Linked DNA regions of Elephas maximus indicus. The protein of the gene in region 1 interacts with the protein of each later gene in a pairwise test. Links are inferred from orthologs where the notes say so. Each region holds a gene or a part of one and is shown in the gene's direction. Other genes may lie near its edges.

Region 1 (7,658 bases):
GTCTTTTTCTAGCAATTGGCTTTCCTGATGACATGTACAAGTAAGTGAACCAAAGTCTTGCTATCCTCGATTCTGAACAACGTTCTGACTGTATTTCTTCTAAGATTGATTTGTTCATTCTTTTGGCAGGCCACCGAAGACTAGTCCACTGGAGATTAGAGGGAGCTTGGAAGGGGAGCTGGGTGTAGGAGGCACTGGACCCAGGTGGGTCAGTGTCCTGGCTACTTGTGAAAGTCTCCATGTGCTGTGCTGGGCTGCAGGGCAGGGCAAGTGCTCAAAGGTCAGGGGTGTGTCCTTGTTCGGGCTGGAGAGCATCTCGGAGGAGGAGACAGAGAGCACCTGGACCTGGGGGCAGAGGACGAGACTGGGAGGGGATGGTGGGCTCAGGTCCAGCCTTCCCCAGCCTGCCGCCTCCCTGGGGTGACCTTGGAGGCCCAGTTTACTCATTTAATTTGCAGATGAACACTCCCTCCCATCCAGAGCTGGGCTCTGGGGAGGTGGGGCCCTCCTTCTCCAAGGCTCCCTCCTGGGAAGGGGCAGCCTACAAGGCCCTCCCCCGTGTGTCCCACCTGAGGCATGAGCTGAGACTCTGCCTCCAGGAACTGACTCCCCCAGGCCTCACCTGCTCAGGGCCCCTCCTCAGGCCCCCCCCCCCCCCGTGCGTTTCTCCTGGGCTTTGTCTTCTGCTGGCTGGGAGACAAGACTCGTGGGTCCTCCCCTTCACCTGCAAGCCCTGGGGTAAGATGTTTGGGCCAGGTCACACAGGTCTGGACAGCCTGTCATAGCCAAACCCGTTAATATTCTGCAGTAAAACTGATGAAGAGTAGATTGACAGCTTTAGCAAATTAAAATACAGGATGCCCTGGTAAGTTTGAGTTTCAGATGAATAAGGAATATTAGTACAATAAAACCTGCAAAAGCCAGAACCTGTGTAAAGTGGAAATCTGTCAGAGAAGGAAAACTCAAACATTTCCCACTAAAACGAGTGGTACAAAAGTGTCAAAGGTGGAAAACTTGCGATACCCAGAAAAATGAGGCAGGCCTGTCGAGTTCCAGCTCTCACAGATTTCACTGTACATGTAGTCCCATACTTAAAATGGTTCTGTTCCAACAACTTAGTCATAAGTCAGTCCTGATGTAAATCAAATACCTAATTTTTTAGTTTTCATTATTATTGCCTTTTATTATCAGTATCTTTATAAATCTGATCTTTATTTCTCTTTGGGGGTTGGAAACATACATGTAAACTTACAGATATATTTTAATACATACAAAAAATACACAAATCATAAAAATTTACTCCTACGAAGAAGAGTTGGACAACATTGGCATTTTGTCAGTTGTGGTAACTCACTTGTGGAAGGTTCTGGATCATCTGGATTATATCTGGGAATGGAGATGTCGTTTCTAGTCAGAAAATTAGTGAGAGTAGTCTGTATGGTCCTTTTCTTCATATATTTCCTGGTAACGTATCTCGGCTTCCCAAATCTGCCTATCGACTTTAGCAGAGCGATCAGCATTTGGGTCCATGTTGTCAAGCAACTGAAGACCATGATTTAGTTCAGAAAACAAGTCAGCTAATCCTTTCACTGTAAAATTTTTTGACAACTTCCTCATTATTGGACAGGCCTTAACGACCTTCATTTTTATATCCATGTCTAGAACCTTCCTCACCTTCTTTTTTGGATTAGAACTTTCAGCGGCTTGACTTCTTTTACTAGACATATTGTTGGGGGTATAAGCAGTACAAGTGTGAGTTAGAGAAACTTGAACAACTCAACTTCAGATTAACAACTGATGCTTCTTATGGTACCAGATGCTGAATAAGATCACACCATAGGCCTGGTCTACAATGAAGTCAGCATCAGAGTCAGAACAATGAAGCTAGAGTTGTAACCGCTGTCAGGCGCTAACGCAGCTCAATTGTGTGTGTCCTTAGAGCTGAACATTGCTCAGCTTTCTATCCTTTTAAGACTCCAGACACCAATACCGACTTCACTGTAGACCAGGCCATAGCTTGCTTTGAACAGTCAATCATAAAACTGAACATTTTAGAGTGAACATCTGAGAACAATAACATTAGCAAATTACATGCAGCAACATTACATGCAATACATATTACTAATGGTAAGAGAAAACAAAAATCCTCACAATTGGACCAATAACCAACATTATGACAAATGGATAAAAGATTGAAGTTATTAAGGATTTCATTTTACTTGGAACCACAATCAATGCCCATGAAGGCAGCAGTCAAGAAATCAAAAGATGCATTGCATTGGGAAAATCTGCTGCACAAGACCTCTTCAGAGTGTTAAAAAGCAAAGATGTCACTTTAAGGACTAAGGTGTGTCTGACCCAATCCATGGTGTTTTCAATCGACTCATATGCATGCGAAACCTAGGCAATGAATAAGGAAGACCAAAGAATTGATGCCTTTGAATTATGGTGTTGGCGAAGAACGCTGAATATACCATGGACTGCCAGAAGAACGAACAAATCTGTCTTGGAAGAAGTACAGCCAGAATATTCCTTAGAAGCAAGAATGGCAAGACTTCAACTCACATACTTTGGACATGTTATCAGGAAGGATCAGTCCTTGGAGAAGAACATCATCCTTGGTAGAGAGTTGGTGAAAAAGAGAAAGACCCTCAACAAGATGGGTCAGAATTAACTCAATGGCAGTGGGTTTCAGCATCTGAAATTCTAATTTAACTGGCTGTACTAGTCTCTTAAGGAGCCTTGATGACAAGAGTTAAGCAGCTGCTAACAGAAAGGTCCGAGGTTCAAACCCACTAGCAGCTCTACGGGATTAACGATTTGGCAATCTGCTCCTGGTAGAAATTACCCTATGGGGCAGCTCTGTCCTGTCATATAGGGTCACTATGAGTCAGGATGGACTTTAAAGACAAGTGACATTAGTCTCCTGGGGCTTTGGTAGCAAAGTACCACAAATTTCGTGGCTTAAAACAACAGAAATTTCTTGTTTGGCTAGAAGTTTAAATCCAGGTGTCCACAGGCCATGCTCCTTCTGAATGCTCTAGGGGAGGATGCTTCCTTGCATCTTCCAGCTTCTGGTGTCCCCAGGCACTCCTTGGCTTGTGGATGCATCACTCCAGTCTCTGCCTCTCAGATCACATAGCCATCTTCCCTCTGTGTCTCTTGTCTTTTATAAAGACACCAGTCACACTGGATTAGGACTTCTCTCCAGTCACATTTACTTCCTCAGAGCAATAGGATGGATGGAGTGCATGGGGTTCATCCGGAGCACCCACTGAGGGCGCTGTAGGGGATAGGAAGGTGGACCACAGACTTCAGGGACCCGACAACCTCAGCCAGGGGACTCTGGAGGAAGGAAGGAGAGAAGGACGACTGGGGGTGGAAAGAAAAAGGGAAGAAGGGCAGAGAAAAATGAGGGAAGGAAGGAACGGAAAGGAGGAGAGAAAGGCTGGAGGTAGAAAAGGAGGGAAAGAGGTAGAAAAGAAGAATAAAAGAGTACCTAACAGTAGAGCACCTCAGGCCGTCCCTCCCCCTCCTCGGCTGGCCTCCCCTTCCCAGCCATCCAGCCCACAAGCCCCCACCGTCCTCGGAGCTGACACCTGGTGGAGGGGGGATTCTGAGAACATCTGTCCCTTCTGACCCCAAAGCGCCTCGGATTACAGTCCGGAGGCGAGTTAACCCTGAAGAAGGTGCCCTGTCCCCCTCTGTGAAGTTCGGTCTCAGAAGCCCAGCCGGCTTCGGGGCGCTGGGCTCTGCTGGGAACGAGAGGCTACAACGACTCCGACGAGGGATGAAGTCGCAGCAGGGCCACTTGTTTGCGAGCGAAACTTCCATACTTTCATTCGTTGCAAACACCGAAGACTCGAGAACTAGACTCTGGGTGCGCGGAACGGGGTCCTGCGGGCAGCGCCCCTCCCCCGCTGCCGCTGCCGCCGCCGCGGCCTCCCCTCCCCCGCTGCCGCCGCCTCCCCTCCCCTACGAGCCCGCGGTCCCGCGCCCCTCCCCCACCCAGGGCCGGCCCCCAGGTTAGGGACCATCCCCACTTACCCTCCCGTCGATCCTCCAAGCATTCGGCTTTCTGTACGGCCTCAGCTCATTGGGAAGATTCCAGGGACGCCCCGGCCAGGGTCTCGAACTGGCCAATCGCAAGAGGTTTCACAGGGCTCTGTATTCGGGGGATCGTCACCGTCCTGCGACGCTTGGGGGTTCCTTAGGCCTCAGTGGTCTCTGCCCGCCAGCGCCGGACCTTGACCCCAAGGAGACCCCCAGGATATATGCCCGGAGAGGTATCCGCCGGGCATCCGGGGAGCTCTTGGCGATCTCTGTCTCCCATTTCCCCCCTTGCTTGCTGGCGTGTCCTCGGGTGGACGCGCGCTTCCCGAGGAGGAGTTTCTAGACGCTCCCTCAAATTGGGGACGCGGCTCCTTTAAGGGCGCAGGTGTCTAGGCCTTCGCCTGACGGGAAAGTCGGCGCCAGACCGGGCTCCCGGGGAGGGCCCGGGCCGCGGGCGCGCGGCGGACGGCCGCAGGCGGCAGAGGACGCACGGTAGTTTGAGCGGCGCGGGACGTGGGGCTGCAAGAGCTGCGCGCGGGCCGGGCGCGCGGCGGGCAGCCCTGCGCAGGCCCCGCCCCGCCCCGCCCCGCCCGCGCCGGGGTCCTCGGAGCTGCTCAGGCTGCGCGCGGAGCGGGCTCGGGAGAGAAGTCCCGAGACAAAGAGAAGAGCTGCTGTTTCCGTCGCCTCCGTCGTCGCAAGGCTCTCCGCTCTTCGCGACTCGCCGGGCCGCGGCCGCCGGAGGTGAGCGCGGCCGGGAGGGCGGAGACCGCGGGAGCCTCCGGCCGGATCAGGCCGGGCGGCGCTTGGGCCACGGGGCGCCGGGCCGGCAGGCGCGTAGGGTCGGTGGGGAGGCCGCGGACTGCGGGGCCTGGCCGGGGTCGGGCGCGGGGTCCTAGGGCGGGCGAGCGGCCTACCCCTCCCGCGCCCGCCCGCCCAGCGCCCGCCTCCCCGATGCCGGGCCGCGGTCGGGACCCCGCAGTCCGCGGCGGACGGGGCTGGGCTTTCTCTCACCTTCTGGAAGGGGCTGAGAGGGAAGGTTGTCTGTGCTTCGAAACTTAATTCTGCTCGCCGAGTTGTGAGCTGCCGGGCTACGGGATGAGCTTCCGGGCCGTCCTGCCTTCGTTCCCAGCGTGGGGTTTTTCGGGTGGACAGCGTCCCCGTGGTTCTCTGGGGTCACGTCCCGGCCGCGCTCCTGGAGTTCCCATCACTTTCTTTCCTGAAAAGGGGGGAACATCCTTCTCTCTGGTGCGCCAGGCGGCCTTGCAGAGGTGCTGTGTGGCGCGCGGAGAGCGGAAAGGAGCCCGTAGCTCCGGAGCTGGGAGAGCTGAGGCCGGTGTTGACAGGAATGCGGCTCTGGAGGACGGCCGCACCAACCCGAAGCGCTCCTTTACCTTTGGGGAAATTAATTTCCGGGGTCACAGGGATGGACAGCAAACGTCTGGCGTCTTCCAGCCAGGGACAGAATGGACAGCAGGGAGTTGAAAGTCTTTCGTTGCAAAATCGCGGGCCCCTGGTGGGGGAGGCACGGGGGGATGCTGTTTGTGGTGTCTTCAAATCTCAAAACAAGGCTAAGTTTTCTTGCTGCTGTAGCGGCTGTCCGTGTTGTGGAGTTGGTGGGAGTCTGAAGATGAGCGCCTCACTTTAGGGAGAGTTTTTAAGATTGTTTTGTACCACTTAAATGGTGGTTGGAACTGGTAGGTAGTTGAGTAGGAGCAAGGGAAGGGAGTGATTAGTTGGGCGCTTGCTGGGGGCCTCCAGTCACCCTGAAATCCCAAAATCAACTCTTTTGGTTTTTGTAATCTTAAATTATGTTTAGTTCTTCAGTTTGCAAAGTTACTGTATTTTTTTTATTTCTATTTTAAAGATGTTTCACCTAAATGTTTTTTGCTACAGGAGAATCTGTGAGAGCTGGAACTTGACAGGACTATTTTGTTTTTCCTGGTCTCGCAAGTTTTCTGCCTTCGACAGTGTGCAGTCACCACTTTTTTGTCGTTCTCTATTAGTGAAACCCAGGTGGCATAGTGGTTAAGTGCTGTGGCTGCTAACTAAAAGGCTGGTAGTTTGAATCCATCAGGCGCTCCTTGGAAACCCTGTGGGGCAGTTTTACTGTCCTGTAGGATCTCTGTGAGTCAGAATTGACTCGATGGCAATGGGTTTGTTTTTTTTATTAGTGAAAAATATTCTTAATTCTTTTTTTCTGACAGGTTTCCACCTTACACAGGTTCCGGCTTTCGCAGGTTTACTGCATTAAGAAAATGTTGCTTTGGCATGGAGGACCTATCCAACTGGAAGCAGAGATTGATCCTGTGTTTGTTCTGATTTTTCTACAGAGAAATCCGACCCCAAACCTCTTCAGTGGTTAAGCAATGAATTCTGCACCCTCATGTGCCAGGGTGGAAATACTGGGTTTGTCAGCTGTGTCTCGAGGTTTGGGACCTTGCTTCAGAGACAGCCTGGGGTCCTGAGGTAGATCCACGAAAGAACTGGAGGGGTGCAGCCCAGGCATGAGGTTCTCCTGAGTGCCGGGTGCTTGGGCCTGCAGAGGTGGGTGCTTTTGTTTATGCCCCACCTGGTCCCACATGGGAGTCCCAGGCTTGGAAGCCTTTGGATTTGGATGGAGAAGGGCCAAGGCAGTGGGTTTGGGTTTGCTGGTTTGTTTTTTCTTTATCTGTTTCATCTTTAGTAGAATCCAGGGCTTTAAACCAGCCACTGCTGAGAATTTGCATTTCTAACAAGTTTCCTGCTGAGAGTTTGCATCTCGAGTTCCTAGGAAGTTATACATAAAAATCATGTGGGGATCTTGTTAAATGTGGATTCTGGTTCAGTGTATCTGGGATGGAAAAGCCCTGGCTATCACCCTTTTTGCAGATGAGTCAGTTGAGGTTGAGGAGAGATAAGAACCTTGCCCTCACTCCCACAGCCAGGAAGTAGCAGTGAAGTTCTCAGCTAGCGAGGCCTCATCTGAGAAGAGCCATGTTAAGAGGCACAGCCCCGCTGGAAGCCCAGGAGGATGGTGGAGGTGCAGGTCTTGGAGGCTCTGCCTGGGGTCCGCCCTGTGGGGTGTTTTTTACCCTGCCTGTCTCTAGCACTTCACAGTGAGAGCCTTTGCATCGTAACCGTCCTGCTCTGAAGTGCCTGGTAACGCTTAATACTCGTTAACTGAGTTTCCTTGCATTGAGGAAGGTAGATTCGATGATTTTAAGTGGGATTAGGATCGTGGCTACTTGTTATAATTAAAGATGTAACAATTGCCTGCATTCTCCTGACAGTGGTGGTTTTAGGAACGGACGGGCGGATCTTGGGGGCCCAACCTCTGCCTGGGATGGGGGTGGGTTTGCACCTTTAGTTCTTTGTCTTGATGCTGAAGCATTCTTTCTGTGTGTGATCTGGTCCATCAGGGTGGGAAGAGGGGCTCTTGGGCTCTTACAGGCACCTCTGGCACTGAGACTTTGCAGAACTGCCCCTATTATCTTTCACATGGTCAGAGGCGCCAGGATGGGCCTCCCTGGGCAGCTCTGTTCCATTATTGGAGCAGAGGCTGTGGCAGGTCCGGCACAGGGACTCCCAGGATCGCCGTGCTGCCAGCTCCTGAGTTTTACTTCGGC
Region 2 (7,775 bases), on another chromosome or scaffold:
TATCCTGACCTCTCCATTAAAAAAGGAACCAAACAAATCCCCTGGGCCTTCAGTCCTCTTCACAGCCACTCTTGAGGCTTGGGCTCACACATCATTCCCTCCAGCCTTCTGCAGGCTGACTTCCACCCCAACCTATCTCCAGAGTTGCACTTGCAAAGGTCACCAGTGACCTCCCATTGTCAATCCCGGGGACGTCTTTTAGGCCTGATCTTACTTGACTCCTCATGGTTGATTTTGCCCTTATGTTTTCTCCTCCTTTACCGTGTGATTTTTTTATTATTTGTATAGTTATTTGTACCTTGCCAAGGCTGATAGCATTTGCATTCTAATGTGTAATTGTAACACCCACAGTTCAGGGTTAGTTCTGTATTGTTGACTGACTTGAGTCTATAAAAATCCATTTCTGAATTAGCTGATGTGATTTCTTCAAGTAGTTTTCTTAAGAAGGACTCACGGGTGCTATATTCCTTGGATTCTTGCATGTTTATTAAGCATGTCAGCTTATTATTCTTAATTTTTTTTATCCGATTACAGAAATAACACAAATTCCTTACAAGAATATAATAAAATCATATTTATTCATTCTTCTGTTGATACAGATGTGAGTTTTTATAGGCCTGTCTTCCTAAATCCTTATCTTCCCTTGGCTTCAGAGATATTAGGCTCTAGTTTTCTCCCACTTTGGATGTCCTTCTCAGCTCTTGCTACTTAAATTGGTCACTTGCGTTGGCCACACCTGGGAGCTTGCGTGTTAAAAATCTCAGGCCCACCTCAGCCTACTAAATCAGAATCTGTGTTTTAACGAGATCCCTAGATGATTACTGTTATTGCCATTTTCAGCTCACAGTGACCCCAGGTAACAGTAGGGCTGCCCCATAGGGTGTCGTTGGCTGTAATCTTTACAGAAGCAGATGGCCAGGTCTTTCCACTGTGGAGCCACTGGGTGGGTTCGACTGACAGCCTCTCAGTTGGCAGCTGAGCACTTAACCATTTGTGCCACCAGGGCTCCACTAGATGGTTAGTGAGCACAGTGAAGTTTGAAAATTATTGTCGTCTAGGGGTGATTACCTCTGTCTTCAGTGAAACTTTAAATGTTGGATTTTTTTTTCTTCTAATTTTAGGCAAGCTCCTCTTCTCTGTGTCTTCAGATGTCATCTGTATGCCAACAACTCAAATCTCCAACCTTGTCCCTCTTTGTATATCGGCTGCCTTATGACAGCTCCTCTCAGACACTGCACAGGCATCTCACTTCTATTTGGCATTTTTCAGCATCTTGCATAGTACCTAACAGGTGCTGAGTAAGTATATGCTGTCTTTTGGCAGAATACGTGGTCAGGTTGGAGATTTGAGTCCACTCAGAGGCACCTTGGAAGAAAGACCTGGGGATCTGCTTCCCAAAAATTCAGCCATTGGAAACCCTATGAAGCACAGTTGTACGCCTGACACACATGGGGTCGTTGTGAATTGGAATCTACTGTATGGCAACTGATGCTTACTGGTGTTAGCAGGCATGGAAGCTTCAGAGTGTGGTGATTTTGGGTCGTGAAAAGCAAATGTACTTTGCTCTACACACTTGAGTTGGGGTTTTCCCTTTCCTTTACTGTATTATCATGTTTGTTCAGACCTCTATCACGTATCAGGTCCTTTGCCCCCCTGGCTTTTCCCACTCAAATCATCTCTTTTATTAGACACATAACTTTTCTTCTGTAGCCACAAAGTTCTGAGGATTATTTTCAGGAAAAAAAAAAAATAAAAGGAGTTTTTAGGAGAAAAAATACATAGTACTTAAAAAAAAATACCACATCACTTTGCCACAGGTCTGGAAACTAAAAACAGGTGAATTCGTTTTCCTCAACATTGTTATGTTTATAACGAAGTTTGATTTTTGACTTCGTGTGTTAAGCTGTTGAAGTTTTGAGACTTGCCTTAATTTTTGTCAGAGAAGAGAAGCATTTTTTAGCATTATAATTTAACCGACATTTTGTACATGCTGTGATACCTGTCCCCACCACGAGTTGCCTTGGAGTTGGCCCTGACTCATGGTGACCCCGTGGGCATTAGAGTGGAACTGTGCTTCATATGGTTTTTCACTGGCTGATTTTCAGCAGTAGATTTCCAGGCCTTTCTTTCAAGGTGCCTCTGGGTAGACTCTTAACCTTCAACCTTTTGGTTAGCACCTGAATGTGTTAACTGTTTGCACCACCCAGGGACTCCAGCTATCACCATATCATCCAAATGTAGAAGCGCCCTTTTCACAAAGAAGAGTTGAGAGGAGGAGGAAAGCCCTAGATGTTTTGGATTGAGGGATTCAGTTTAACCCAGTGATCACTAATCTGACAGCTGTAATTTTATTTTACTATAAACCTCACTGTGTGATTTCTAGGAATGTTTGGTTTGCAATTTGCTTTATGATAACATCGTGATCTCTTCCCATGTCTGACTACTTTTCTTCATTCTAAGCTTTTAATTTTAAGTAACCATTAGTTTCATATTGCTGCTGTAATACATGGACACCTTTGGAAGGAGGGGGCATTACTTGGGGGAGCACAGTAACATTTGTAAACTAAAAGGAAAGGGTAAGCAAAACATCGTGGATTAATTAGAGTAGCCAGGCACTGGGTTGTGACAAGTCAGAGAAATTCTTAGTCATTTATAAAAGGAAACAAATAACTGCCACATGAAATTGAGAACAAAAGTTTAAATCCATCTCTTCCTTCTGCTTTATGTTAATATGGCAGAGCAATAGTTAAATGGTCTGACTGTAATAAGATGCTAATATGTTTTGATTTAGGTTAAAATCCATTTAAACTTTATACCTAACTGGGTTTGATTGAAATGTAGGCTTAGAAATGGTAGGTAATAGCAAACTCTTGTTAAGTTTTGAATTTTTGCTAACTTTGGGTTCTGTGTGCTTGCCTTAATGAAATGTTTTTATGAATTTTTCTAGCTCTAGTGTAAAAAAATATTGTACATAGTTGAGAAATTCTACTAAGGTTTATTGTGCTAAAAATGAATTCAGTAAGAGCTTGTTTGCTAACTAAAAGGTTGGCTGTTTGAATCCACCAGGTGCTCCTTGGAAACTCAATAGGGCAGATCTTTTCTGTCCTGTACAGTCTCTCTGAGTCGGAATCGAATCGATGACAATGGGTTTGGGTTTTTTTTTATAATGTACGTAGAGAATCCCTGGTGGTACAGTGGTTAAGCACTCAGCTGCTAACCAGAAGGTTGGCCATTTGAGCCTACTAGCTGCTCCAAGGGAGAAAGATGTGGCTGCCTGCTGCCTTAAAGATTACAGCCTTGGAAGGCCTATGGGGCAGTTGTACTCTGTCCTGTTATAGGGTTGCTATGAGTCGGAATTGATGTTGTTAGTGGGCATAATGTACATAAATTAGCCATTTTCCCTTAATTTAGACAAAAGCCTGTGAGGCTGAAAGTATTATCCCAGTTTTACAGCCTGGATTTGAATTCAAGTTTGACTCCAAAACTCTCCCACTTTTTCTAGATTGAGGGGTTTGTCTTGTTTTCAGAGTGCTCTAGGGGTGTGTGCTGCTCCTTTGGGAGCCATCAGCTTACTTTAGATGTTAATTTTATACAGAATTATTAATTACGTTTGGAAAAGTGTCGGTGCCTAAAACGTTTGAAGTCTTCCCTGTATCCCTAAGACTTATCTAGAATGAATGGGTATTAGAAAGTAAAAATGCAGGTAATAGTAATTATATTTGCATGTGGGAAATGGGCTATATTTCTGGTTATATTTCCTATATATTCCTAATGATGTTTTGTGTAGCCTAATATTAAATAATGAGTTTGAAGTGCTTGCACCCACGATTTGGGGGAAGGGGTGATAAGTTAAACTTGGTTGCAGAAAAGTGAGCAGTCTGCGTTCACCGCCCGGGGTTCCTGGTCCTGCTGCTTCCACAGGCTTTGCTAAGCGTGATGCAGTGACAGGTTAACAGGCTTTTCTAAGCGTTATACTAAAAACCAAACCAAACCCAGTGCCGTCGAGTCGATTCCGACTCATAGCGACCCTGTAGGACAGAGTAGAACTGCCCCATAGAGTTTCCAAGGAGCGCCTGGCGGATTCAAACTGCCGACCCTTTGGTTAGCAGCCGTAGCACTTAACCACCACGCTACAGTGACTGGTTAACAGCCTTTTCTAAGCGTGGTGCGGTGACAGGTGAGACCTCTGAACGGCTGCCTGATGCAGTGATGTCGGATGCCCAAGGCTTCATTGCGGCAGGGCACGTGGTGGTTTAAAAACAAAGCTGGCCGCTGGGAGTTGAACGAGGCAGTGTAAGCTGGCTTTCCCAGCGTGGCAAGAGGCTACAAGGGCCGTTTGGAGGTTAAAGCAGGAGTTTTAATTGAAGCGTGCGCACACCTGAGGCCCCGCCCCTAGTGCGGAGAGGCAGTGGGCGGGGCGTCGTCGCGTCCCCGTGGCTCCGCCCGGCCTGCGGAGGAGCGTCGGCGCGTCCCTGTGGCACGGCCACCTCCCTGGGTGCCACCTCCCTGGGTGCGGCGGGGACTGGGCCGGCCGGCGGCGCCGCAGCTTGGAGTTCGGCATCACGGTTCGGGCGTTGCAGCTTCCGCCTACAAATGGCTCTTCTTTCCCTGTGGGGTGGACCCTGGAGAAGCTCCGGACTTGGAGAGCGCACTTCCTTTTCCAGCCACCTCTGCGCACCCCTGTAGGCCCGTCCTTTGCCCGGTCTTGGCGGGAGCCCCACTCATGAGTCTGGGGAGGACAGGCTCCCGGGATAGACGGTTTCGGGCGCCGCGGGCAGCTCAACGATGCGCCCGTGTTTGGAGACACAGGCGACTTAGAGCGAGCCCGGAGTGTGGTCGCGCCTGCTCGTGGTCGCCCCTGCTCGGGGTGGGAAACTCTGATTCCTCGTGCCTGTGCAGAGTAGGACACCTGCCGTTGTTCCTGTAGAACCTGATCTCGGGCTCGAGCTGGAGTCTTCCGGGCTTGGGAACACAAGGGGGTGTCCGGAGGGGCCTCTGTGATGAGGACGCGCCGTGAGCAGCCTGACTTCTCATGGCGGGGAAACCTGCCCTGCCTTTTCTCTACTCGTTGGGGGGAGGCTTGTTCCCTTGTCTGCCTGCAGCTAGGACAAGGGAGAGAAAAGGTACTGGCTGGGTTGCTTACATTGTGGGACTTGTATGTTGTCAAGTCAGTGGAGTCTGCCCGGATCAGCCCCACCATGATAACAGCGCTTCCCGGGGTTAGCCGGGACGTTCCATTTGATCTCGTTTTACATCAAACTTGAGGTTTTGTTGTAACTTCTGCAGGACTGTCAAGACGGTTGAGCCCTTGGTGCTTACTGCAAAGCTGCTGTATGGCTGGGGACTGACTGGGTCGCACCTTTGGAGTTCTGGGGTTTTGGGCAGCTACTTCTCTGTAACACCTCCACCACATTTCACTTGGAATAGGAATACAAATTGTACCTTCTACGACGTTTGGAAAAATAATTTGTTGTAACATGATCGTGAACTATCGGTGAATGCATAACGAACTAGGTCAAGCAATTGAACAACAGTGTTTTTCTTGCTTGGTAGCTCTATTATGTTAAATTACAATTTCAGTTTACGGGCCTTCGATGTCCTTAGTTGTATTGGTTTAGTGACCCGAAAGCCCCTGCTGGCTTGGCCTTGCTTTCTGCCCAAGCAATCACTCCGCAGTGTCCTGTTGTTCAGCGGGCGCGACTTTTAGGGTGTTGTGTGGCAGTACTAAGCCCGTTGTCTTACACCTGACAGTGGGTAGATCATCAGATGCGCAAAGAGCCTACATGGAGGGGAACTGACTGACAGAGCTCTCTGGTCCCCATGTTGGGATAGAACGTCAGGGCTTCAGGTGAGCCACGTTCTGAAGGGATTCTGCTGTGCTTCTGTTTCCCCTCAAACTTTAGGATATCCTCTTATTAACCATGGAATTGATCTTTTTTTTTTTTTTTAATACCCTTAACCTGCATTTAAGGTATCTATTGTTAATCATTTGAGTAATCTAGACCCCAAATCGTATTTACCTGGTCATATTGGTAACAAGCATTGTTTCTTAAAAGATAAATTCTTTGCAATGGAGTAACAGTTATAACTGAGAGGAATCAGTAAATTTGCTGTACCTTAGTGTAGAGTTATCGGCATTCTTAGGACAGGAGCAGATGATTGATCTTCATCATCCCTCCCCCTAGACAGTGACCTGCCATATCCTGGCAAAGGTAGATACCTGGGGAAAGGTGCTTGTTTTTGATCTAGGCTGACTAGGTATACTGTTGATCGTTGCTCCCAGGTAACATTTAGTTCTTCAATAATGTTTACTATTACACTGCTAACAAGTGTGTCGGCAGCACAGGTGAACCTCAGGGTGCAAGGAATCCTTACCCCATCGCCAGTGTTCTCTGTGCCTCTCTGGTGCTTTTATATTTTTTGATGTGGAATGAACAGAGTGATTTATGTTAAACTCATTGAGGATGGCCCTTCCATTCTCCTGTCGGCTCTCGTTTTTGAGGAGGGCACTGACCCCTAGGAGACAGGATTATACCTAGCCATGTTAGTGTTTCAGGGAGCTCTCTTAGATGATGCTGGGATGGCAGCAGGCCCTTCCTCTCAGGACTGCCTCTCCTCATCCTCCAAATATACCACTAGAACAAACACTGTTCACCCTTCGAAGCGTTCATGTCAGTACTCTGGTGGTTCCTTGGCATTTGAGCTGTCGGACTCACCTGTAACTCCTATAACTATGAGCAGCTGAAAGGAAAGCGACTGAGTGGGGTTAACTGAATTCAGAGGGAGGATTTGTGATTGGACTTAAGCTGCTCGTATGGTGTTTCCTAGTTGTTTACAGTTCAGTTTCTCTTTCAGCATTTCATTTCTTATTCCATGTGGTTTTGGAATTGGCAGTGAAGCCCATTTTTCTTTTTTTAAAAAAGCAATCCTAAACATATCCTGGAGCGTTTTGAAAACAGTAGGACCCTTAATGATCAGAATGCATATTTAGTATAATTTAACCCTATTTATTTTCCTTTGTTCTTCTCCTTATAGTAAAAAAATTTCTGGCATGTAAATATTATTTGCAAAACAAATGACAGTTGTAACTCTATTTTTATTTCTGTGTTTTTATTTTTTACAGAAATGAGCCGTCAGACCGCCACAGCATTACCTACTGGTACGTCAAAGTGTACGCCATCCCAGAGGGTGCCTGCCTTGACTGGCACAACCGCATCCAACAATGACCTGGCGAGCCTTTTTGAGTGTCCAGTCTGCTTTGACTATGTGTTACCGCCCATTCTGCAGTGTCAGAGTGGCCACCTTGTTTGTAGCAACTGTCGCCCAAAGCTCACGTGCTGTCCGACTTGCCGGGGCCCTTTGGGGTCCATTCGCAATTTGGCTATGGAGAAAGTGGCCAATTCAGTACTTTTCCCTTGTAAATACGCCTCTTCTGGATGTGAAATAACTCTGCCACACACAGAAAAAGCAGACCACGAAGAGCTCTGTGAGTTTCGGCCTTACTCCTGTCCGTGCCCCGGTGCTTCCTGTAAGTGGCAGGGCTCCTTGGATGCTGTCATGCCCCACCTGATGCATCAGCACAAGTCCATCACGACCCTGCAGGGAGAGGACATCGTTTTCCTGGCTACAGACATTAATCTTCCTGGTGCTGTTGACTGGGTGATGATGCAGTCCTGTTTTGGTTTTCACTTCATGTTAGTCTTGGAGAAACAGGAAAAATACGACGGCCACCAGCAGTTCTTCGCAATTGTACAGCTGATAGGAACGCGCAAGCA
Region 3 (7,069 bases), on another chromosome or scaffold:
GTGTGCGACAGACTCGAGGGCGGGCGGCCGGCCGGCTGCGCTGCGCCCCCTGGCGAGGGCTGCGCGAAAGCCGGGCCGGGTGGGCGGGGGCGGGGCCGGCGGCGCGCCATCCCGGGAGGGGTGGGGCCAGTGGAGCACGTGCCTCGGAGGACTCGGGAGGGCGTGGCTTCGCAAAACAGAGGCGGTTCTCCAATTGTTCGTAGACAGAAGGGCGGGGAAGCGAAGCCGGGGTCAAGGAGGGGGCGTGGCCTAGAATCTAAGGACTTTTATCCACGGAGAGCCAAGCGGGTGGAGCCGCCTGCATGCGGCGGGAAAACCGGACGCCGGTTGTATCTCAGGAGACTCGGGACGACGAGGAACTGGGCCCCAGTGGGAGAGGCGGGGAATAGCTTTTAGGATTCTTCTTCCTCCCCCTCCTCCATGGACTTCTGCCTTCCTGCATTTCACCTTCTGTCTCTCAGCTCTCTTCTCCACGCTGCTCCCCCTCGTATTTCATTTCCGAATGCATTCTGCCTACCTTCACCGTGGGCGACTCTGTCTGGCGCTGAGTGGATGCTGAGGATAGAAAAATGAATACGAAAGTTCCAACCATCCAGACACTGCTTGTCTGTGCCCGCTGACAGACCCGCGAACAGGTAAATTACAGCGCAATGGGACATTCAAGGAGTTCCGGTGGTGCAATGGTTAAGGGCGCTTCGCTGCTAACGGAAAAGTTGGTGGCAGATTAACAACCTAGGTAATCCTATGGGACAGTTCTAGTCTATCACATGGGATCCCTATGAGTCAAAATTGACTCGACGGCACCCAACAACAACATGGGATGTTAAGTGGTATAAGTTCCTAAATATCTCAAACTCTTCTCATTTCCATTTCTTATTGCCAGTGTGGCTTTACTTCGAGCCCTCAGCACTGTTACCTAATTTCAGAAACCTCTAAAAGGGTCTCTAACCGCTCTCTCAACCCAATTCTTTTCACACTCTGCAAGAGTTACCTTTCTAAAATCCAAATGTAGCTGTATCACACCCTTGCTTAAAGTCCTTCAAAATTCCCCACCTTCTATAGGATTATGTTTGAACTCCTTAGCATGGCATACAAAGCCCTGCAATATTTGGACCTAGTTTCAACAACATCTGACAATCCCTCTCTTGAAACCCAGGGTTTCAATCATGCTAAAATGCTGCTACTACGACCACCACCACCATTTGCCATCAAATTGACTCCAACTCCTGACAAACTGCAGTGAAATGTATCACTTTTATGTGGCCTTTCTAGCCATGGTCTTGTAACTCACAACAAATAAGTGGGCATGACTACACACATAAGGAGCTTGTAGCCCTCCAAGGGGATAGGACACCTTGCTAATAATAAAAATAAGGTGCATGGCACCCTTGTGGGGTTGGGACCATGCAAATAAGGTGTATGGAATCCTAATGAGGGAATTGATCAGTTTTGCCATTCCACTAGGCTTAAAATGAGCTATCCCAGAGGTGGAGTAGGGGGGGGACTTGACTACCACCAAAAAGAAGAAATGGGAGCAGAGTGTGTCCTTTGGACCTAGGATCCCTGCACTGAGGCCCTCCTAGACCCAGGAGACAGAGAGAGAGACCTGTAACACCAGAGACGGCAGGACAGTGAGAAGCAGTGGCAGAGAAACAACGGCAGCTGAAGCAGCAGAACCAGGAGACTGGCAGGAAACAGCACAGTGAGCTTCCTGGTCACCCACAGAGCAAGAAAGCTGAGCACCTTCGAGCAGAGCACCTTCTGGTAGAGTGGGGTGCCTCCAGGCACTTATTGGTGGAACTAGGCTTGCTGACCCACTGAGCAAGAGAGTTAAGCACCTTCGGGCCAAGGCTTACTGGTGGAATGGAGTACCTCCAGGCATGTATTGGAGGAGCTAAAGAGCTTTGTAACACTTGCCCAAGCAGGGTAGAGGCTGGGCCAAGGGGCCAAGAGAAAGAGAGGCCTACCTGTGGGCATGGCTGAGAAGAGGCTGTCTTGATTGATCTAAGAACTGTATCGTGAATTATAAACTCTTACTGCCCTAATCAACCCCCTAACTGTGAGTATGGTCAGTGAGTTCTGTGTGGCTATTGCAAGGAATTATTGGACACAGCAGAACAGTAGAGAGTGCCCTGCGAGGGACGGCTGGTATCAGAATTGGTAAAAGGTTGGAGGGTGGTGGTATGTTTGACCTCCACCATGTAGGAATCAGCCTTGGGCTGTTGATGCTGACAATGACCCTCTCCCCCTTGTGAAGTTAGAGGAGGTCAGATGCCTCCTAAGCACCATTTTTACACAACCCCACATGTGTCAGAGTAGAACTGTACTCCACAGGGTTTTCAATGGCTGGTAGATTATCATTCTGCATTTCTTCAGAGGGGCCTCTGGGTAGAATCAGACTTCCAAACTTTTGGTTAAGCCAAAAAAAACCAAACCCACTGCCGGCGAGTCGATTCTGACTCATAGCGACCCTAGGACAGAGTATAACTGCCCTTATAAGGTTTCCAAGGCTATATAAATCTTTACCAAAGCAGACTGCCACATCTTTCTCCCGTGGAGCAGCTAGTGGGTTCAAACCACTGACCTTTCAGTTAGCAGCCAAGCGCTTAACCACTGTGCCACCCAGGGCTCCCTAACCTTTTGGTTAAAAAAAAAAAAAATTTTTTTTTTTTTTTAGGAACCAAGAAATCCTGGCAGCTCCCTGAAATGCTTTGTTCTGTCTTGTCTCCAGCCTTTGCGGAAGGTATTCTCCTCCAATTCACTTTCCACCAGTTGGTTCAGATCTCAGCTCTTCTAAGAAACCCAGAAACACATTCTCAACTCTCCTTCCCCAGGAAGGGTCTAGACTGTTGTTTTTAGCTGCCTGAGTCAGCCCCCTACTCATGGTGACCCCAGGCACGGTGAAACAAAATGCTGCTGGGTCCTGCAGCATACCCATGATCGGTTGTAGATCTGACAGTTGCTAGGGTCTGTCTAGACTAGAGCTGTCTTACAGCAGCCAGGGCACCACTGTTCATAACAGTGCTTGTCACATGTTCACCATTATTTGTTTACAGGTCTGTCTGTGCCATTAGATTGTGAAGGTCTGGTGAACAGTAATCCTGCGCCTGGCATGATGTTGGACACATAGTAGACACTCAGTAAAGGCTTGTTGAAGAAATGGTCTGGGAAAGGTGTTCATGGAGGAGGAAGTGAACTCTCCAGTCCTTCATCCCAACGCCTTAATTACACTTCCTCCCCTATTTTACAAAAGTTCTTCTCCTAAACTGTTTCTACGTATAATTGGTCTAATCTCAATCTATTCCCTATCCCAGCCCCCCTCTTATATTCTTTAATTTTAATAAGGCAATCCTCAGGTTATTCTTTCATTTCCCTTTCAACCTTCCTTTCTGACCATTTTTCAATTTCTTCTATAGCGTCTCTGACCCTTCCCGGTTTGTCTTAAGGTCTTTCTCTTTTCTGCTCTATTTTTTCAATTCAGTAAATTTATACTTCTCACACATTATGTGTAAAGCACGTTAAGATACAGTTCTCAAATGATTTCCCTCTTTAGGATATCTGATTCTCCATCCCTGCATTTCTGAAACATTTCCTCCACGGTCATGTCCCCCGCTGCCACATGTGCATAACTTTGCTCAGGACAAAAGGTCGAAGCCCCTCTTTCCTGGGCTTAGGTAGGCAAAATGTTTTAAGCACCGGATGTTTTCAGGCTTGGAGAAACAGAGCTGACCACGAAGCCTCACAAGAGTCAGAAGGTTTGCGGAGCGGCAACACTTTGTTTTATTTTACATCTCCAACCTAACTACGTAAGCTACAGCAGTCTGGATGAAAACGGCACAGGACTGAAGAGCCAGACCTCTTCGAGTGGAGCCGGCTTGGCAGGTAAGCAAGCGCGTCTTGCGACCCCCTCCCCGCCCCACGGACCGCCGCCCCCGCCTTTCCCCGCCCCGACCGGCGGGCGCTGCAAGCTACGTGAGCACGCGGCGGCGTGCGCGGCCCTGGGGCGGAACCCAGGGGTAGCTGGGAGGCGACGCAGGGCGTGCGTGCGTGCGTACGTGCTCGCTCACAGTGGCGGCAGCGGAGAGGAAAGGCCAGAGCCGGAGACTGAGCGGGGATCGGGCCCCGGGCTGGGGCGTTGCGAGCGGCGCCGACCGGATCCTGGGGGCGGGAACGGAACCGGGGCGGGCGGGACTGGAGCGGAGCCCGGGAACGGGGCGGGAGGTCCCGGGGTCCCGGGTCGGGGGGGTGGAGCCGCACTTCGTCGCCGCGGGGGTGCCGGGACTCCGGCCGCAGTGCCGCCGCCATCACGGACTTCCTGTGGGACAAGCGCACGGGCCTCGCCGCCAGAACGGTGAGCGCGCGGGCTGGCGGACCGCGGGGCCGTGCGGAAAGATGGCGAACGCGGGGGCGCGCCCTGCGGGGCGGGCGGGGATAGGACCGGATTGGGGGCAAGGGACTGGGGCAAAGATTGGGAGGAGGATGCAGAGCTGCAGAGGTGGGGAGTAAAGAGATGAGGTGGAAGCAGGTCGGTCTGCCTTATATATATCCAAGAACGCCTATAGAAAACTTGGGAGAGGCAAGAGTAGGAGAAGGGGTGATGGAGTAGGGACAGAAGCTCCAGAGATGAGAAAGAGTAGAATAGCGAAGTTGGACTAAGCTGAGGAGTAGGACAACATAGATTGTCACTTTGAGGATATGGCGTCTGACTCTAGGAGTGAGTTCTGGATTTTTCGAGTGAGAAAGGGAAAAAAGATTTAGAAGTTGAGACAGATCCTAGGTTAGATATGCTCTAGGGAGAAAAGGCCTGTGCGCGTCCTTGGTGGCAGTGTGGTTGTGGTGAGATGGCACTTATGCTAAGCAAGGTTGGATAACCAGGGGTATTCTTTTGCTCGCATTTTCTTGGTTTTCTCTCAGCTCTGTTACAGTAGGACTGAGTCAGCTATCACTCTCTTTAATTCGAAAAGGTTGGGAAGAAATGGCCAGGAATGGGTGTCATGTGTTGGTGTCATTTAGCTTTTTCTACACCTAACCCCATGTCCACCCGAGACTTCTGTCCCCGGACCCTCTCATTTCATTCTGCCCTCCTCTTCCCTTCTTTCTGGAATGTGACAGTGATTTCTCTGTGACTTTCCCTGAAGAGAAAAAAAGATCTGTGCACCATGCTGTTCCATCCCCAAATAACTTGAAGGTAGCTAGCTAGCTCTAGGCCAAGTAGTGCTAATATTAATTAAAAACCAGTTATTCTCTACTTCCCAAGTACAAGAGGGGTGGGGCCAGGTAGGAAGCTGAGACTTGACATTAAAACCTCTCTAGGGGATTTGGCAGAGATACTTCAAGGGGCCAGGCCCAGATTCTTGAAACTTGATTATATTTGGTATATACTTGCTATGTGTAGAAACCTGGAAAACTGGATTCGTGCCCTCAGGACATGGATGGTCTCTTTATGGAGATAAGATACTTAAGGACTATAAAACCTTTGTCAGAACAATTACAGTAAAGCTAATGTCTATTGAGCCTGTTGGCACAGATCTGTCTTGGGTCATAGCCAAGGATGAAGGGTGGCGGTCTCTGTCAGTCACACAGTCTCACCTGTAATAGAGCTGTGGCCCAGACCTGAGGGCCTTCATGGAGCCATGTTTGAGGAAAAGCAGGGTAGAGGAATGAGTAGAGATGGGGTAATTGTGGGATGGGAGGAGAGCCTATTAGAATTTTCAGCCAGATTTAGTAGGTGAATGTGTACCTTAAGTTTGAGAAATTGTAAGCACAGAGAAAGACTGCAGAAGTTGTGGGTGGTAAAAAGAAATAGGGATAAAAGAGCAGAAAGGCCCTTAGGATCTCTGGAGCACTGGGTCCTTGGAGGGGAACTTTGATGGGAGCTTTCTCCACTATTTTTTCTTTTCCTTCCTTTCTAGATGCCTCATCCCCGAAGGTACCACTCCTCAGAGCGAGGCAGCCGGGGGAGTTACCATGAACACTATAGAAGCCGAAAGCATAAAAGACGAAGAAGCCGCTCCTGGTCGAGCAGCAGTGACCGGACAAGGCGACACCGGCGGGAAGACAGTTACCACGTCCGTTCTCGGAGGTGAGGCCTCAGGAAGAGAAACTCAATCTCAGGTCACGCACTGTTCAAAAAACACATACTGGTTCCGTGCTAAGAGCATTGTGCAGAACAGCTGGGTGGAGATGATGTTCAAGGTGGCTAGCAAAATAAAGCATTTGCACTGCATTGGTAATAGCTGTTATCATAGGGGAAGTACAGAGCCTGGGCTGAGGAAGCACCAGCAGGTTTGGTTGGGTGAGATAAAATGTGTAGTTCAGGGGATTTCCCAGAGAAAGTGACATCTAAGCGTGTCTTCAGTTGGAATAGGAATCAGACTAATAGGAGTCAAATGGAAGAAGTGTCCCAGGCAAAGGGAAAACATGTGCAGAGGCCTGGGGGCTAGAGGTAGCTGATGGTTTAATAAGCAAGACAAAGTTGGGTCTATATAGTTTTAATAATTTCAGCAGTATTCAGGAATGGTTTGGAGCAAGGCTGGATTTCAGTTGGGGAGGCTGGAGAAAGAAATGACTATTGCAGTGTATCACTGGAGGGGAGGAGGAGACCCCCAGAGAGAGTGAGTACTCTGCAGATATCTTTTCAGAGGCCTTGGTGACATACAGGTGTGGGCATCCTCCCATTTAGTCAGCTCACGCTTCTGGTTCTTGGCCCGCTTGGAGCACCATAATAGGTGTCTGGGGGCAATTTTTCGAGCATTACTCTTCATTGTTCTTACTGAGGGAGGATCTTGTCACATGGCAGAAATGTGGCTTGAACACATGTACCTAATGGATGTTTTTTTTTTTTGTCCCATAGCAGCTATGACGACCGTTCATCTGACCGAAGGGCGTATGACCGGCGATACTGTGGCAGCTACAGGCGCAACGACTACAGCCGAGATCGGGGAGAGGCCTACTATGACGCAGACTACCGGCATTCATACGAATACCATCGGGAGAACAGCAGTTACCGCAGCCAGCGCAGCAGCCGTAGGAAGCACAGGCGGCGGAGGAGACGCAGCAGGACGTTCAG
Region 4 (7,963 bases), on another chromosome or scaffold:
TTAAGTATAACACAGCTGTACGTTTTTATTCTACTGGGGTATGTTCCTCCTCAACTTATATAGATTTTGCTGATCAATTAATCTAGCATTACTTGTATTAATGTTAAGGTTATTAAAAATGTAAAATTGTGTGTAACCAAATTGATTCACGATGCTGACAAATTTTATTTCAATACTAATTATGTTTTACGTAGTATGTCTGCATGAAGATCATTAGGTAACTTAAAACCTTGAACTGATATTAAATTGAGTTAATCAATGGATATACATTGGATGCCTGGGTCATTTCTAAGTAAGATACAGCATGGGAACATTGATTACTTAGCACAATTTTAAGTTTATATTCTTGTGTTTCTTTTATGTTCTATAGAAAGACTGTATTTTGGGGCCATGTTAATGAAGTGCTTGTTTTTGCTACTTTGAGAAACTGTATAAGGGGTGTGTGAGGTTGTATAAAGCTGTGCTGTGTGTATTCACGAGCTCTGCTAGTCTGCCAAAACATGTAACTGAGTTTTCAATTATCCACCACCTTATTTACTGTGTGAAATGAAAGTGACTTTGGCTAAAAGTTATAATTAACATAAGTGTTTGAGAACATTTTTAAAACAAAACCAAACATGTTGCCATTGAGTCAATTCTGACTCACAGCAACCATATAGGACAAAGAAGAATTGCCCCATAGGCTTTCCAAGGAGCGCCTGGTGGACTTGGACTGCCGACTTTCTGGTCAGCCGCTGTAGCTCTTAGCCACTATGCTACCAGGGTTTTCTGAGAGAATATAATTTAGGAGCAATATTTTCAGAGAAACAAAACTATGTATATGCTATTTTTTCAAAGAAAAGAGTAATTTTGCCTTAAAGCAATGATTCTCATCTTTGGGGAGTTTTTTGTTTTTGTTTGTTTTGGTCTCCAAGCCTCTTCAAACTTTCTGAGGATCCCAAAGAGCTTTTACTTTGTAGGTTACAACTATTTATGATTACTGCATTGGAAATTTAAAAAAATGAGACATTTTTTAATGCTTATTTTTAATTCATTCAAAGAGAGCAATGCTGAACACGTTGCATGTTAATAACATCTTAGCAATATTATTACATGAATTCTGACCTTATGGACACCCTGAGATTTGTCCTAAAGTGTCAATTTGCTCCAGAATATGAAAGAGTATAACAAAGGACAAAATGTAGAAATGAATTTTATTTGTGTTGGCTTGTAATACCTGACTGAAAAGTTCTGAGATGTGTTAAAATGTTAGCCAAGTTTGCTCAGTTATGATGGGCTTGTTTCCTTGGCCTATTTTTTATTGCTTTTGCCTAAAATAGGAACAGTTATTCTTTTCCTTTCTAATTTGCCTAGGTAGCAAATATTCTCTTTCCAGAATAATTTCATTTGCTCTATGTTGTCTTTTTTTTTTTTATGTTGTCTTTATTTAAGAAGACAAATAAAGGTTCCTCACTTAGCAATCTTTGTTTTTTATTGTATCATCTTTTACAAACTTGAAAAAAAAGCATTCTTGGCTCTAGAGCCATACAAAAACAACTGGCTAGATTTGATCCAGAAGCCATAATGTGTCAACCAATGAATAAAGAAAATCTTTAAAACACGATCATTTTTATATCTGTGTGAGATTCATACTTTACCTTCAAAAGTATTTTTTAACACCTATAGCTGAGATATAGATGTTGACGGCACTGGGTATAGCTGAGATCTGTTTCCCTCTGGATAATGTGAATTATTCCCACGCACTTAGCATGATGCCTACTGCAGTACATGCTTAATAAAAATCTGCTGGCTCCCATGTTGTAGGAGTCCCTTCTACGCTCTTCTACTGATCCATCTCAGAGGCGCTCTCTTGGTTTTGTCTTCTGGATTTCCACTTGCCACCAGCTGGACTCACACCCACACCAAAGCACCAGAGCACAGAAGATGGACATCTGCTTCTATCTCCACCCCTCCCACAGCTGTAACTGTATGGCCAAAGTATAAACTAGCCTTTTTTTTAAAAAAAATAATTTTTATTGTGCTTTAAGTGAAAGTTTACAAATCAAGTCAGTCTGTCACATTTAAACTTATATACACCTTACTACATACTCCCATTTACTCTCCCCCAATGAGTCAGCCCACTCCCTCCTTCCAGTCTCTCCTTTCGTGACGATTTTGCCAGTTTCTAACCCCCTCTACCCTCCCTTCTCCCCTCCAGACAGGAGATGCCAACACAGTCTCAAGTGTCCACCTGATACAAGTAGCTCACTCTTCATCAGCATCTCTCTCCAACCCATTGTCCAGTCCCTTCCATGTCTGATGAGTTGTCTTCGGGAATGGTTCCTGTCCTGGGCCAACAGAAGGTTTGGGGACCATGACTGCAGGGATTCTTCTAGTCTCAGTCAGACCATTAAGTCTGGTCTTTTTATGGGAATTTGGGGTCTGCATCCCACTGTTCTTCTGCTCCCTCAGGGGTTCTCTGTTGTGCTCCCTCTCAGGGCAGTCATCGGTTGTGGCCGGGCACCATCTAGTTCTTCTGGTCTCAGGATGATGTGAATCTCTAGTTCATGTGGCCCTTTCTGTCTCTTGGGCTCATAGTTATCCTGTGACCTTGGTGTTCTTCATCCTCCTTTGATCCAGGTGGGTTGAGACCAATTGATGCATCTTAGGTGGCTGCTTGTTAGCATTTAAGACCCCAGAAGCCACACTTCAAAGTGGGATGCAGAATGTTTTCTTAATAGAATTTATTTTGTCAATTGGTTTAGAAGTCCCCTTAAGCCATAGTCCCCAAACCCCCGCCCTTGCTCCACTGACCTTCGAAGCATTCATAAACTAACCTTTTTAGCAAAGGCATGTGATAGCTTTACTGTCTCAAAATATTGAATTTAGAGTTGCCAGACAAAATACAGGATTCCCAGTTACATTTGAATTTCAGATTTTTTTTTAATTAAAAAAAAATTTTTTTTTTTTTTAATTTGCAATAGTTGGGACACTCTTATGCTAAAAAATTGTCATTTATCTGAAATTCAAATGTAACAGGGTTTCCTCTATTTTTATTTGTTAAGTCTGGCAGCCCTATATTTACTGAGAATCTATTACACTCTAAGTTTGGAACCCACCAGGGGCTCCGTGGGAGAAATACGTGGCAGTCTGCTCCCATAAAGATTACAGCCATGGAAACCCTATGAGGCAGTTCCACCCTGTCCTAGAGTATTGCTGTAAATCAGAATCAGCTGGAAGGCAATGAGTTTATTTCAGCATAGGGGATTGTAGTGAAGTCGAGAGAATTCAGGACTGATCAAGGAAAAATATATAATTACTAGATAGCAGTGTTATGCAGCAAGAGATTATTGGGGCCAATGTATTAACAGCTGCATACAGCGGAGGTCTCCACAGCAGAAGGTCTGCCAGAGGCACCTTAAGGAAAGACGGCACGAAAAACCCCGTGAAAGGGAAGGGGGTAGTTTATGTGTTCCTATGTGATGTCCGCCTGCAACAAGCTGGGTGGTCTCTGGGTCAGAGGGCTCTGAAGGCAGCAGCATCTTTGTAGTCTCATAACTACAAGGCCAGCAGATGTTGGCTGCAGTTGTACGGGGTATGTAAAGCAGGCAGGCTCTAGGTGGCTAAAAATCTGCTTATTTGGACTTTTTTTTTGAAACAATTGAATATTTGGATATTTGAGTTTGGTGCCAGCAGGCTTTTTTTGGGCTAACGAGTCTCAACTTCCTATAAAGAAGTAAACAACTTGGGGCCATTCCACAGAAGCCATCTTTAGTTCATTTATATGACAGGGACACAGCCAGGAACAAGACAAAATACCTCCCTCACAGAACAGACTATTAAGTGGAGACAGGTTAATAAACAAATTCACTGTTGTGTTAGCTAGATGAGCGCTAGGTAGAAAAATAAAACAGGGTAGGTGGGTAGAGAGAGTAAAGTTGGATGCTGGTTTTAGCAGAGAGTCAGGGAAGACTTTTCTAACAAGGTGACCTTTAACAGGAAACTAAAGCAGTGGTTAAGAGTTAAGGCTGCTAACCAAAAATCAGCAGCTCGAATCCACTAGCCACTTCTCGGATACCCTATGGGGAACTCTACTGTGTCCTGTAGGGTCACTATGAGTCGGAATAGACTCAATGGCAGTGGGCTTTCAGTTAAGTGAGGGAGCCAACTGTGTAACTATAGGGTGAGGGCACATTTCAGGAAGACAGAATGGTAAGTGCAAAGGACCTGGGTCAAACCAAAACCAGTCACCATCAAGTCAATTCCAACTCATGGCGACCCCATGTGTGTCAGTGTAGAACTCTGCTCCATAGGGTTTTCAATGGCTGATTGTTTAGTAGATTGCCAGACCTTTCTTCCAAGGCACCTCTGGGCACACTCCAACCATCAGCCTTTGGGTTAGCAGAAGAGCAGGTAACCACTTGCACCACCCAGGGATTCCCAAAGACCTTGGAGGGGGGTTTAATTGGCCAGTTCCAGGAATAGCAAGAAGGCCACATGGCTGGGCAGAGTGAGAGAGGGGAGAGGGGTAGGTGTGAAGTCTGAGAGAGGCCGCTGGGGCATCCTTGCGTAAAGCTCTGGAGGCCTCGGTTAATCTTTCTAGGTGCTAGAAAGCTGAGCTTTAAAAGAATAAAAATAGCACCGGTAGAGTTGTAATTGCTCGGGGGTGCAGTTGTTCAGCTATTATCTGAGGAGCTTGTTAAGAGCTGTGTTTCAGGAAAAACAAACAGGGAATAGGTCGAGATATCCCAAACTGGACTCTTGTTTCTCAGATGAACTCTTCCCTGCCCAATTCCCTGGAAGGATTCTCCTGCCTACATCTAGCCCCATGGATGCAACCAACTGAAACTCAGGAACATCACCGGTGAAAGGAAAACTGCTAATTCAAGAAACTGCCAGGATTCGAAAGTCCCAAACCGAATGGCTCAGAACTGCCTCGGAGGACGAGCTTTACTTTCTGGATCTGTCTCTGCCAAAGTTAATCAGAGTGCTCAGACCCAGCAAGTCTTCCTGCCAGCGGACGTTGGGCCCTCCCTTGAGCGCTGCTGTGAGAAGCGTTTTGAGGAAGTAAGTTTATAAAGCTAGCTTTTTTGTTTTCCCTCCACTTCAACTTCACTGTTTCCTTCCGGGATCTTTTGGGGCTCCGCCTTCCACAGTGGTTTCACTTCTGAGTTTAACCCGGTCTGAGTTAACTTCTCTACCCACACTCCGAAAGTGGCCGCTACAGAGGGGACTAGCAGGGAATATGTGACGGTCGGCTGTGGAGCAACGAACTTGGGAAAGGCCCAGGCCCAGGTTTTCTTGGTGGAGGGATATGATTTCTGCGTGTGTGAATGTGTGTGTGTGGGTGAGGGGTGGGGTAGGTACGCTTCGTGGTGCGAGAGCCTCTCCAAATCTGAAAATCGTCAGAATTTTTCCTTATAGCTCTCACTCGTGTTTCCTTTCTCTTTCACCAGCCCTCCGTGCCACATTTCAGAAGATCCGGGTTGTGAGGTGACTGAAGGCCAGGACAGCACCCTGGGACTTCAGAAGAGGGGAGGCACTTCTTCCCTAGCAGCGCAGCAGCCCGGGCAGAGAGGGGCTTCGTGTATCCTTTGATAGAAATCATCTGCCGAGGAATAGAATTCTCCAAGATGACACTCTGTGTGGCTCCAAGAGAACGGTCCTGATTATCAGAGGGAAAACACCTATCCGGTAAACCAAAACCATTGCAGTTGTGTCGATTCCAACTCACAGGGACCCTATAGGACGGGGTAGAACTGCCCCATAGGGTTTCCAAGGAGCGGCTGGTGGATTGGAACTGCCTGCCGATGTTTTGGTTAGCAGCTGAGCTCTTAACCATTGCGCCACCAGGGCTCCATAGATCTGTTAACTTTAGTCAAAATCCTGTTTTTAATTCCAGGCTCAGTCAGTTCAAAGGAAAGGTCACTTTTCGATTTTTCTCCCAAACTCTCAGGGATGGGAAGAGGGAAACAGGACTAGGTTCCTGAAACAGCTGCAGCAGGGGGTGAGAGGTCAGATTCCTTTGCTGTCTCTGGTGGCTGGGTCTTTACTGATGGACATTAGGGGGTCCAGCACCAGGGATCCCACAGAGGCTTGATTGCCCCCACCTGCCTCCTTTCCCACCTCCCCCACGTCCTGGCCACGCTTGCCCACAAGTTCTGCGAACTCCCTGTGCTCCAATCACCCTGGACTTCTGGGAGGCAGTCCTGACCTGGAGAAGGGACAGTCAAGGCCCTAGTTCTCTGGGAGCTCTGCTCCCCAGACTAACCCTTCCCCTCTCTATCTCTCTTTCTAGTACTCTCTCCCTAAGTACCATGAAAGGAGCCCTGGTGGCGCAATGATTAAACACTTGGCTGATAACTGAAAGATCAGCAGTCTGAACCCACCAGCTGCTCCACGGGAGAAAGATGTGGCAGTCTGCTTCTGTAAAGATTACGGCCTTGGAAACCCTGTGGAGACTCCTATTCTGTCCTGTAGGGTTGCTATGAGTCAGTATCCACTCCACAGCAATGGGGTTGGGTTTTGTTTTTTTTTTTCCCAGAAGTAGCAGGAGGGAGGTTGGAAAAAGGACAAACCGGTTCTTCTAGTTGCCTTGGTTATTTTCATATTCCCCTGGCGGGTCTCCACTGAGACTTTATTAATCTCCGGAATTTTTTTCATCTTGGAGTGAGGGCAGGGTAGAGAGATCTGGGCGTGGGGGATTCAAACTTGATTATGTCAATGGAAACTTCACAAAACCAAAAACCAAACCCACCACTGTCGAGTCAATTCTGACTCATAGTGACCCTATAGGACAGAGTAGAACTGCCCCATAGAGTTTCCAAGGAGCACCTGGGGGATTCGAACTGCCCACCTCTTACTTAGCAGCCATAGCAGTTAACCATTACTACACCACCAGGGTTTCCTAGAAACTTCACAGACCACTTAATTACTCCAGTGTTGCTACCAGTCAAAAAGAGAATTCTTGATGTTCACTAGGATGTGAAAGTTTCACACTCCCTCACTGATTTCTCTCTCTTGGGGCAACTTCTGTGAGGACACCTTCCTTACTCCTCTATTTGTCTCAGCACTTGGTCCAAGAGAATTTTTGCACTGATGGAATGTCCTAGATCTGGGCTGTCATATAGCCACCAGCCACATGTGGCTACTAAGACTGAGAAACTGAATTTTAATTTTATTTCATTTTAATTAAACAGCTATATGTGGTAATAGCTACCATATTAGACAACACAGCTAGATGTTTATGCATCTTCTAGATTCTAGTCCATTTCTTCTCTCTAGAAAGAAGACTTTAAGACCCGTGCAGTCCAGTGACAGCCAACTCATCACACAGAGGCTCATGTGAGGTGTATTTCCATCACTGTTGAAAATTCTGGCTGCTTTATCTCTGCTTCTAGATCCACTGTTCAAGGTTTTTAATAAAAGCCATGGCCTCAGCCACACCTGCAAAAAAGATGAGGGAGGAAGCCACCTGCTCCATCTGCTTAAACTTGATGGCTGACCCAGTGAGCATCAGCTGTGGACACAGCTACTGCCACTTATGCATAGTGGGCTTCTTTGAGAACATAAGGCACATGAAACCACAGGAAGAGAAGTTCTTATGTCCTCAGTGCCGAGCCCCCTTTCAAACGGCGAGCGTCCGGCCCAACAAGCAGCTGGGAAGCCTCATTGAGGCCATCAAGGAGATGAACTGTGAAATGGTATGTGAAGAACACGGAGAGCAACTCCACCTGTTCTGCGAAGATGAGGGCCAGCTCATCTGCTGGCGCTGTGAGCGGGCACCGAAGCACAAAGGGCACACCACGGCTCTTGTCGAAGATGTAAGCCAGGGGTACAAGGTGAGTGTGGGGGCCAGAGAGGCTCGCCAAGGCCTGGTCTCATGCTGTTCTCCAAGACCTGAGATTGTTTAGTCTGAAACCCAAGATTATGATCCGGAAGTGCAGCTTTCGTTGTGTCATTCTTCTGAAAAACAGTTTTGATG

Evidence for each region.
Region 2: the proteins of UBE2I (region 1) and SIAH1 interact in a two-hybrid assay, tested with the Homo sapiens proteins (2 studies listed by BioGRID). The link is inferred for Elephas maximus indicus from reciprocal best matches to the Homo sapiens genes UBE2I and SIAH1.
Region 3: the proteins of UBE2I (region 1) and CLK2 interact in a two-hybrid assay, tested with the Homo sapiens proteins (2 studies listed by BioGRID). The two-hybrid records come from large-scale screens. The link is inferred for Elephas maximus indicus from reciprocal best matches to the Homo sapiens genes UBE2I and CLK2.
Region 4: the proteins of UBE2I (region 1) and TRIM38 interact in a two-hybrid assay, tested with the Homo sapiens proteins (2 studies listed by BioGRID). The two-hybrid records come from large-scale screens. The link is inferred for Elephas maximus indicus from reciprocal best matches to the Homo sapiens genes UBE2I and TRIM38.

What each region holds. Positions count from the first base shown.
Region 1 is NC_064830.1:58,455,810-58,463,467, forward strand, and holds the start of UBE2I (SUMO-conjugating enzyme UBC9), read left to right. Parts: upstream 1-4,654; 5' UTR 4,655-4,794; intron 4,795-7,658. UniProt on the Homo sapiens protein: Accepts the ubiquitin-like proteins SUMO1, SUMO2, SUMO3, SUMO4 and SUMO1P1/SUMO5 from the UBLE1A-UBLE1B E1 complex and catalyzes their covalent attachment to other proteins with the help of an E3 ligase such as RANBP2, CBX4 and ZNF451.
Region 2 is NC_064839.1:7,688,448-7,696,222, forward strand, and holds the start of SIAH1 (E3 ubiquitin-protein ligase SIAH1), read left to right. Parts: upstream 1-4,775; 5' UTR 4,776-5,032; coding exon 5,033-5,123; exon of another isoform or gene 5,124-5,848; intron 5,849-7,123; coding exon 7,124-7,775. UniProt on the Homo sapiens protein: E3 ubiquitin-protein ligase that mediates ubiquitination and subsequent proteasomal degradation of target proteins.
Region 3 is NC_064821.1:193,168,979-193,176,047, reverse strand, and holds the start of CLK2 (dual specificity protein kinase CLK2), read left to right. Parts: upstream 1-4,061; 5' UTR 4,062-4,351; intron 4,352-5,912; coding exon 5,913-6,082; intron 6,083-6,853; coding exon 6,854-7,069. UniProt on the Homo sapiens protein: Dual specificity kinase acting on both serine/threonine and tyrosine-containing substrates. Phosphorylates serine- and arginine-rich (SR) proteins of the spliceosomal complex.
Region 4 is NC_064819.1:73,099,996-73,107,958, forward strand, and holds the start of TRIM38 (E3 ubiquitin-protein ligase TRIM38), read left to right. Parts: upstream 1-4,956; 5' UTR 4,957-5,046; intron 5,047-5,122; exon of another isoform or gene 5,123-5,274; intron 5,275-5,435; 5' UTR 5,436-5,673; intron 5,674-7,263; 5' UTR 7,264-7,409; coding exon 7,410-7,820; intron 7,821-7,963. UniProt on the Homo sapiens protein: E3 ubiquitin-protein and E3 SUMO-protein ligase that acts as a regulator of innate immunity. Acts as a negative regulator of type I interferon IFN-beta production by catalyzing 'Lys-48'-linked polyubiquitination of AZI2/NAP1, leading to its degradation.